3 linked regions of the Saccharomyces cerevisiae S288C genome follow. The protein of the gene in region 3 binds, or shares a complex with, the protein of the main gene of each other region. Each region holds a gene or a part of one and is shown on either strand. Other genes may lie near its edges. The genes, in order: EMC10, EMC4 and EMC5.

Region 1 (2,974 bases), on a different chromosome or scaffold from region 3:
CTCATGTTTTCAAATATTACTTCCATTTCATGTGGACTTACGATTTCGTTTAATAATTCTTTCACTTCTGCTATCTCCTTAGAAATCCTCAAGAATAGCTCATTATCAGTGTTAATTAAGTATTCATCTGACCGAATTTCTGCGGTATTTATATCTGCTTTGTTTGAGTGGGTTATTTGACCAAGTTCAGTTGACTCGCCATGATCCCCAATTTTGTATGATAGGAAGTTTCCATTATCTTCATTAAATGTAAACGTCTTGTTGAAAAATATCTCTGCTCTCTGTGAATTAAGTATGTTCAACGATAAAGTGGTTTGAAACCGATCTTTCATATCAACCACTTCCGCCAACCAAACACATGAGTCACCAGGCTGGAGAATATGTCCATTAGGTAACGATACTAATCTCAAACTAAGCATTTTGTTTATGGCATTTCCAAATTTCTGGTAATATGTTTCCGTAATCTCATCCCAATTTGACATGGCATTGTCAGTAACCATTAATTTGTCTCTTTCGTCGGTGTTAAAGGGCCTTAGAAAGTATATTCCAGAACCTAAAAAAATCGGTTCATATTTGGTGATTAAATCAATAGAGTTACTACCAATTTTTGATTTTGCGGGCATCCTGCAAAGTATAGGTGAGGCGTTCTTTTGGTCTTCATTTTTGGCTAGTAATTCTAAATTGCACAATTCAGGTATGGTAACTTGGGCTTCATAAACACAAATTTTTGTTTCTCTCACCCATTGAATAGTCGATGGTCCAGAGTTTGAGCCGCCACAGACATATTGTATTTCAACCATTCTTTCAGCCCCCGTCACATCGCAAATATCACCTGACCCTATAATTTCGCTGATGTAATATCCTACATCGTCATAAAGTAGTTCAAATTCTCTCTCTTCTACATTTGCTTTTGGTTTTCCCAGGCGGTAGACCAAAGATTCATCTCGATTTACTATTTCACCAGTTTTTGTATTTACTCTACCATGGAACTGAACAAATTCTATGCCAGGACAGTACTCGTAAATCCAAAATCCGGCTTGGTAGAAGATGCACCGTTCATTTAATTTATCGAAAATTGTCTTAACACCTTGATTCAGGGTTTTAGTTAATAATGCTGTCTTTTCACTATTGCTATGCTCATTTGAGTCTTCCAATACATCATTCAATTGAGTGCTTGCATTTTGAATAAAGCATTCAAGGTCGTCGCCCATATTCACTATATATCCCGAGTTCATGACAGACTGATTTTGTAATATCCTATCACTCCAGTCGTCCTCATCGATGTAAGATATGAGGTACTTATTCGATACTATGGGGTCTTCTATAGGTGCTAATAGTGATGATCCTAACGGAATCAACGCAGAAATTGCGCTCAGAGCATATATAATTTTAGCTTGCATTGAAACAGGGAAGAAAGGGGATGATAACGATATATGTGAAGATCTATTGCTTATTTTAGGGAATCTGCTTCTTTTTTATGAAGCTACATTTTTACTTGAAATTTCCGCTGTATTTTTTTGCATACGTGCGCTGGGTCTCTAACCACTGTATTTGCATTGGTAACTTAAAAACCCAACCAAATATAGGAATAATTAGAAGTATATAAAAGACACTTTGAGTAAAAAAACAAGGTGGTACTATTCAACACTATCTAACAAGAACTGTACAATACTCATTGAAGGAAAGATGCTTGTGCGGCTGTTGCGTGTGATTTTATTGGCCAGCATGGTTTTCTGTGCTGATATTTTACAATTAAGCTATTCAGATGATGCGAAAGACGCTATACCCCTAGGAACATTTGAGATTGATAGTACATCCGATGGGAATGTTACAGTAACAACCGTTAATATACAGGATGTTGAAGTTTCTGGAGAATACTGTTTGAATGCCCAGATTGAAGGTAAGCTGGATATGCCATGTTTTAGCTACATGAAGCTGAGGACACCACTAAAATACGATTTAATTGTGGATGTAGATGAAGATAATGAGGTCAAACAAGTGTCGTTATCATATGACGAGACTAACGATGCTATTACTGCTACAGTCAGATATCCAGAAGCGGGACCTACTGCACCAGTCACCAAATTAAAGAAGAAAACCAAAACTTATGCTGATAAAAAAGCTAGTAAGAATAAGGATGGAAGCACTGCACAATTCGAAGAAGATGAAGAGGTTAAGGAGGTGTCTTGGTTTCAAAAGAACTGGAAAATGTTACTTTTAGGCCTATTGATTTACAATTTTGTTGCGGGCTCAGCAAAGAAGCAACAACAAGGAGGTGCCGGAGCTGATCAAAAGACTGAGTAAATAAAGTATTGTGATTTTTTAAATTTTTAAGTGTCGTTACTTTTATCTCTTTCCCGAAAATATTTGAATACATAAAATTTTTAAATAAATGTTTTTATTTGTTCACATGTCGTGAATGACAGGTACTAGTTATCAAAAATGAAGAATATTTCTTCATTCCATTACATTATAGACATGATGATTGCCGTCAAAAGACCGACCAAAGGGGTTGTTTGGCCAATTGGTGCCATGATAGCGGCATTGCCTTTGGAACTCTTAGAGCTAGAGCTGGAAGCGCCAGAACTAGAAACACTAGAGGCAGAAGCAGCAGCCTTGATATCGCCAGAAGTGAACTTCTTTTCCTCGGCCTTAGAAGATGACTTGGAAACCTTGGCAGTAGTTTGGCTTGATTGAGATTTGGAAGTGGACGATAGTTTAACAGATGTGGATGATGCACCATTTTTGCAGACAAAAGATTCACCCTTGATACCCCCTTTCTTTTGCAAAGCTTTCAAAGCATTACAGGAGAAATTGCTTGACTTTGATTCGACATCTGCGCCACCCTTGACAGACTTCAAAGAGTCTAGGTTCAAGGAGGTGAAGTTACCAACAACTTCCAAAGTACCGCCAATGGTTGTTAGGTTGTCGAGACCACCAATTTTTTGTAAACCAGTGTTGTTAGCAACGACAA
Region 2 (2,996 bases), on a different chromosome or scaffold from region 3:
TACATTAGAAGATAAATGTAATAATAATGATAGTAATGACAGTAATGACAACCAAAAACAAAAAAAAAATATTAAAAAAAAGTTTCATGATAATGAATTGTATTCTACTTTTGATACATCTGATGACAATATTGATGATGATGATGATATGAGTTTTGAAATTCCTTACGTCAGTGAAACGCAAAATTTGAAAATACGTAAAAACCCTACCATTGGAGATTTATTCAAAATTAAACTTCATGACCTTGGGTTTTTTCCAAAGTTTCTACAATTATTCTTAAGATATCCTTGGAATAACTTTTGGCACAACATTGTATTTGATATTATTCAGCAGATATTCAATGGTCGAATGGATTTTTCTTATAACTCATTTTTGGTCTATTCTTTGTTTGATTTCAAAAAGTCTACAAGATTTATCCCAAAACCTTTGTACGGCAGCAACCAAAAGTTACCTGTTAAAGACTTCCATATTATCTCTGATTTCATTTTACAAGGCCACAAGGATTCGTTTGAATTTTACGAAAAAGAGAAAACAAATTTAGGTTATATGGGTCAATTAGTATTAATTGCCGAAGAAATTGCGAAGTATTCCAAAATTTATAAGACCGATCTAATTGCTCCAGATATATATGCCTTCTTACAAGATGAAGTTTGGATGTCATATTCTAGTGACATCTTGAACGAAACAAGGACAATGTGTTCAATAATTCTTGGTGGAGGCCAGTTCTGTGCCGAAAGCGATGAAAATACTAACCAGGACTTTTTGGAAAAAGCTGATATGAGTAAACCAGCTCATCCATCCACAATGGATGAGAATGAAATTGTTCACGAGGAGGATGTTAAGTTGCATGATAAAGTTGCCGAGCTCATAGATGAATTGGGTCAATTAACCGAATTAGATATTCATGATAAAATTAAAGATGTTATTGTTGATCATCATTCCGACTTAAATTGATTAGGTTAAGTCGTCAAACCAATTTTGACTTTTTTTTTCCTACATTTTTAATATTTTGTTTCTCGTTTTGCCTTATTTAATTTTGTGACATGTAAAAATTACGAAGCCTATTGGGGGCCAATTGAAGTAAACTAAATATAACAATAGTCCTTTGTAGTTCAGGAATGTTCACCAACTATTCACCAAAAATTATTGTCTAGCTTACTTTCAATAACTTATAGCTATCTATACAAAAATAATCATATAACTAAAGTCAGGCCCAAACCAGGCAAAACAAAACCATAATAATGGGAATTATTACACTATCCGGCAATGTTCTACATTTATTGAAAGCCTACCCAAAAAAGGGCCTTGAAGAGGTTTCTCAACCAGAGCCTAATACAGCAAATGATTCCTCGACTGAATATAAAGGAAAAAGCAAGGATGATTTTCAAATGGTCGAAAAATCCAATACAGATGAGAGATACAATTTTACAAGAACGAAAAAATGGTTTTTATTGATGACCTCAGAATATTACAAACTAATGGAAAACAGACTTTTAATGTTTTGCATTATCGCTTGCTCTTTTATTTGTGCTATCCAATTTCTTTTCTTTATAATTTATTGGACCAACATTGTTCCACGGAAGACGCAAAGGGCAATAACTAACCTAAATTACGATTATTTAACAGCCCATCTAAAAGAGCAATGCGTTCCATATGCGAAAATTCTTGACCAATGTATTCTCTAGCAATCTCTGCTTTTGTACATTCGTAGTTTTTTCATGTTCCTTTCATAAATAATAAAAAAAGCGTATTCTTTTCTATATAAATAGAATGAAAAAAAGTTGAACATAATATCAGTTAAGGTTAAAATAAAGCCAAACGATATAAGCAACAGAAATGAGTGAACAGGAGCCTTACGAATGGGCTAAACACCTATTGGACACCAAGTATATCGAAAAATACAACATTCAGAACTCAAACACATTACCTTCACCACCAGGATTTGAAGGTAATTCCTCTAAAGGAAATGTTACAAGAAAACAACAAGATGCTACATCTCAAACTACTTCTTTGGCACAAAAAAACCAAATAACAGTATTACAAGTACAGAAGGCATGGCAAATTGCGTTACAACCAGCCAAATCTATTCCGATGAATATTTTTATGTCGTATATGTCCGGTACATCCTTACAAATCATTCCTATAATGACTGCCCTCATGCTACTCTCTGGACCCATTAAAGCAATATTTTCAACAAGGAGTGCATTCAAACCAGTGTTGGGTAATAAAGCAACACAAAGTCAAGTGCAAACTGCTATGTTCATGTATATCGTATTCCAAGGCGTCTTAATGTACATTGGATACAGGAAACTAAATTCAATGGGTCTCATTCCTAACGCTAAGGGTGATTGGCTACCCTGGGAACGAATTGCTCATTATAATAATGGATTACAATGGTTTTCCGATTGAGAGCGTATATACTTATATAAAATATCTATTCTGTTTCATATATGATTATTGTTTTACACTCTTATCTTCATCCTTTCGGAATTTCGATTCATAAAGCTGTTGAACGTTGTATTTACGATATTTGGTTTTATAATCCCCATCGACTACACACATTCCGATATTGCTCTTAAAACATTCCACTAGAATCAATTTATCATAGTTCTTCAAGTCCACAGTATGATTAAACTCAGAACCCTCTTTATTGACCAGCTTCACAACTTGATTAATGATGTCCATTCTTTCAATCGTATTGAAATTTCTTCTTGTCACTTCTACAGCAAATTTATAATTTTTTTTAACATTCGAAGGGTCATGAAAGTGTGGCCCAATAACCAAATTGGCCAACTTGATTAATTGCTCCATTTTTGCATTACAAGAGTACGTAATAGGTGTTAATTTCTGAACATATCTAGTACGTTTAACCATATTTTTGGGATCCGCTAAGTCTTTCATGATACTTAGCACAAATTCTTCGGGAACAATTGGCTTTCTTGTTTTACAAAATGTCACGCACTCACAGTTCAAGTCGATGAAGGCTAAGGGGTCT
Region 3 (2,908 bases):
AGTTCCACTTACGCTAACATGAGGATGAATATCGTACTTATACTATGTAAACTGGAATAGAAATATTCCGAACGGTTATCCATTAGAGTGTTAGCCCTCAAACCGAGACTCTCGATAATATTGAATAGAAGATTTTACCACTAAATTTAGTGTGTATTTATGTATCTTAATAACAAACTATCCAACGAAGACGCAAAAGATACTATCCGCCCCGTAATCCTTTTGAAACCACTCAAGCTTATGGTTCACGTTATAGAACACAGGAGACGCTTGCATTATTGGTGATTCTAATATAGCTTTCTATTCCTCTATGAAAGGCGTCTGTGTTGGTGTAAATAGAAGAGGTGCCTGGTCACCTGACGCCTTATTTTGTGCAGTTACGATGTTCGAGTAGATTCGCTATCGAATTTATGCTCAAAATCTAGCTAATCCTCTTATTAGATCTTGATATGTATATATGTATGAAATTATAAGTTCTAGCTCTAGTTTTCAGTATCTTATTTATTTTTCTTTTTTTACAGTGTTAGAGGCCCATTCCCTGCAAATTTTTCTCTTCATATGAACGTCAACAAAGCTTGGAGTAAATATGATCTCACCATTAGGGTTACTTCCTATCAAGTTATCCACGTTGGTGGCTTTATTTAATGCGATTTCTTTTAGATAGTTTCCTTGGGATATTATCTTCCCATCGTTACTCTCAATTGGTAAATATTGTAATTTCTCGAACGAAGTGAACACTGCAAGAACAAAGAGTATCAATCCTGCATACGTTTCATACATGATATCTTTAGGTAACTTGCTGATTGCACCTTGTGCATTATTAAGCGAGTTAAGTTTTAATAAGTGATGAAACTCATAGCTTGAGAAACCAGAATGAAATAACACCAATGCAGAGACTGTATAGAGAAGCTTGGAAACAAACGACATCTCTTGATAATTGCTTTTTTGTATCTCGGTAGGGCTTAATTACGATCGCTTTTTAGATGCTACAATTAACATGCATAACAACTATCTGAGTTGACTTTATTTTATATTCAAAAGTAGATTTTTCTGCGCTGCGTTTACATCGCGAGTTTTCGAAGAAGCAAAGGGCGCTTTGATGACGATTGAATGGGCTTGGAAAATACATAGCCGAATATCATCCAGCGAGTATAGTCTAATGCGAAGGGATATTTGAAGTATTTATGATTAATCAAAAACTGCTAACGAAGCTATGTATGTTCAAAAGAAAGATGTGATATATATTATAGATCTTATTGTTTTACAAAAGAGCAATAAGTCTGACGTATATCTTTTCCCTTAATCTTGTGTGATTTCGTCGCTGTTGTCTATAGCATCTACCACGGTTGGGTGTTCCTCAATTGGTGCTAACTCTGAATTATTTTGCGAACTTTCTTCAATAGGTTCTAGATCGATTGTCATGGGAATATCTGGATCATTATTTTCAGTATTTGCATGGTCGGTTTCTCGTTCACTGTTGGGTTGTAAAGGCGCTTTTTCCCTCTGTGTTTGATTTGATTTTGCTTTCTGTATGTTCTTTTTATTAGGTTCTGGATTTTCCATTATGGTATCATCTACGATTTTTTTGAACAGCGGGCCAAGCTTTTCTTTGTTTAGTGCCACACGGGAAGCAAATCGTTCATCTAAAATATTCAGTTTCATTAGTCCCTTCAATTTAACTGTGAATAAAAGGAATTCAGTTTCAATATTCTCGAAAAACCCGGTTTCCGGCAAATCATTTAGGTTGGCGTCTTCATCTGCTACCCTTTCTAATTGGACGTCAACTTGCTTAGCGAAAAGACTCTCCAAATATAAAAATATTTTCAAAAGCACTTTGGAAGCATTATCGTGAAGGTAAAATGGAAATTGTTCACTCATACTATATCTCCATGTTGTAGCGTCTGCAGGCAATTTGAGCTCAAATATTTTTATTGCAACGATTATATCCATTAATGAAGTGCAAGCTGACCATTTTAAGTAAAACAAGCTGTTTATGTTTTCAAATGTTTCGTTTGTAGCCGCCAATGAAATAACGAGTGTGTTTAGACGACCTATTATAGCGGCAATTGGTTTCCAAACTGATCTAAGATCTTTTGAAATAGAATTCTCGTAATCCCTTACTTTCTCTATTATTTCTCTCCATTTTTCCAGATTCCATGTGGCTAATAACACTAGCATTTTAAAGTTTATTTCTTGAGCGGTACTATCATCAAAATCTTGAAACATTATAGGGATACGGGAAACAAAATTGTTCAAAAACAGTTGCAACAACTCTTCATCAACCTCGATTGGGTAATCCCTGCCAAGAATTGTCAGTTTATTGATGTAGAGCTCGTACAAAGAACAAGTTAAATCTTTGTAGTCGTCCCTAGAATTATTTGGATCCATTTTTTCCTGTAGAAATTTTTTTAAATGAATTTTCAATGTAGCTATCTGGTTTAAAAATTTTTCCTGCAGTTCCTTTTTTTCAAAATGATGGATATGGTGAATGAATTTAGCAAATATATCGTACTTCATGTCAACTTTTGAATTCCCGATTGTAGAATCCATAAATGCTTTAATAGTTTTGTCGGTAATTTTTTTTAATTCAGTTTCATATCCAATAGATATCCAATCATCCAGAGAAAATGTGATAAAGCTCTCTAGGAGAGGACACAGAATATCAGCAGATTCGATGGATGCGGCATTCAACAAATCGTAGAATAAAGGCAAAACTATTTCCTTAACGCTGTCCTTAGTTTGGATTTTGGGGTTGTTGGCACCTGCACACAGACCGTGGAATACGTTCAGATATAAAATAGTGCTATTTCTGTCAATGGGAAACAATGGAGTGATGTCCAATTCCTCATCGTCAACATCCTCGTCATCGCTGTTATTATTGGCCGAGTTTTGTAACTTTTGGATCAGT

What was found.
Region 1: EMC5 (region 3) and EMC10 share a complex: the UniProt entries of both Saccharomyces cerevisiae proteins name them as parts of the ER membrane protein complex.
Region 2: EMC5 (region 3) and EMC4 share a complex: the UniProt entries of both Saccharomyces cerevisiae proteins name them as parts of the ER membrane protein complex.

Annotation. Positions count from the first base shown.
Region 1 is NC_001136.10:564,353-567,326, reverse strand, and holds EMC10 (Emc10p), read left to right. Parts: upstream 1-1,686; coding exon 1,687-2,304; downstream 2,305-2,974. Other genes in the region: YOS9 (Yos9p), read right to left, coding at 1-1,400; PST1 (Pst1p), read right to left, coding at 2,466-2,974. UniProt on the Saccharomyces cerevisiae protein: Part of the endoplasmic reticulum membrane protein complex (EMC) that enables the energy-independent insertion into endoplasmic reticulum membranes of newly synthesized membrane proteins.
Region 2 is NC_001139.9:62,462-65,457, reverse strand, and holds EMC4 (chaperone EMC4), read left to right. Parts: upstream 1-1,837; coding exon 1,838-2,410; downstream 2,411-2,996. Other genes in the region: SAP4 (Sap4p), read left to right, coding at 1-955; YGL230C (uncharacterized protein), read left to right, coding at 1,243-1,686; TAN1 (putative tRNA acetyltransferase), read right to left, coding at 2,456-2,996. UniProt on the Saccharomyces cerevisiae protein: Part of the endoplasmic reticulum membrane protein complex (EMC) that enables the energy-independent insertion into endoplasmic reticulum membranes of newly synthesized membrane proteins.
Region 3 is NC_001141.2:303,178-306,085, forward strand, and holds EMC5 (Emc5p), read right to left. Parts: upstream 928-2,908; coding exon 502-927; downstream 1-501. Other genes in the region: cohesin subunit IRR1, read right to left, coding at 1,300-2,908. UniProt on the Saccharomyces cerevisiae protein: Part of the endoplasmic reticulum membrane protein complex (EMC) that enables the energy-independent insertion into endoplasmic reticulum membranes of newly synthesized membrane proteins.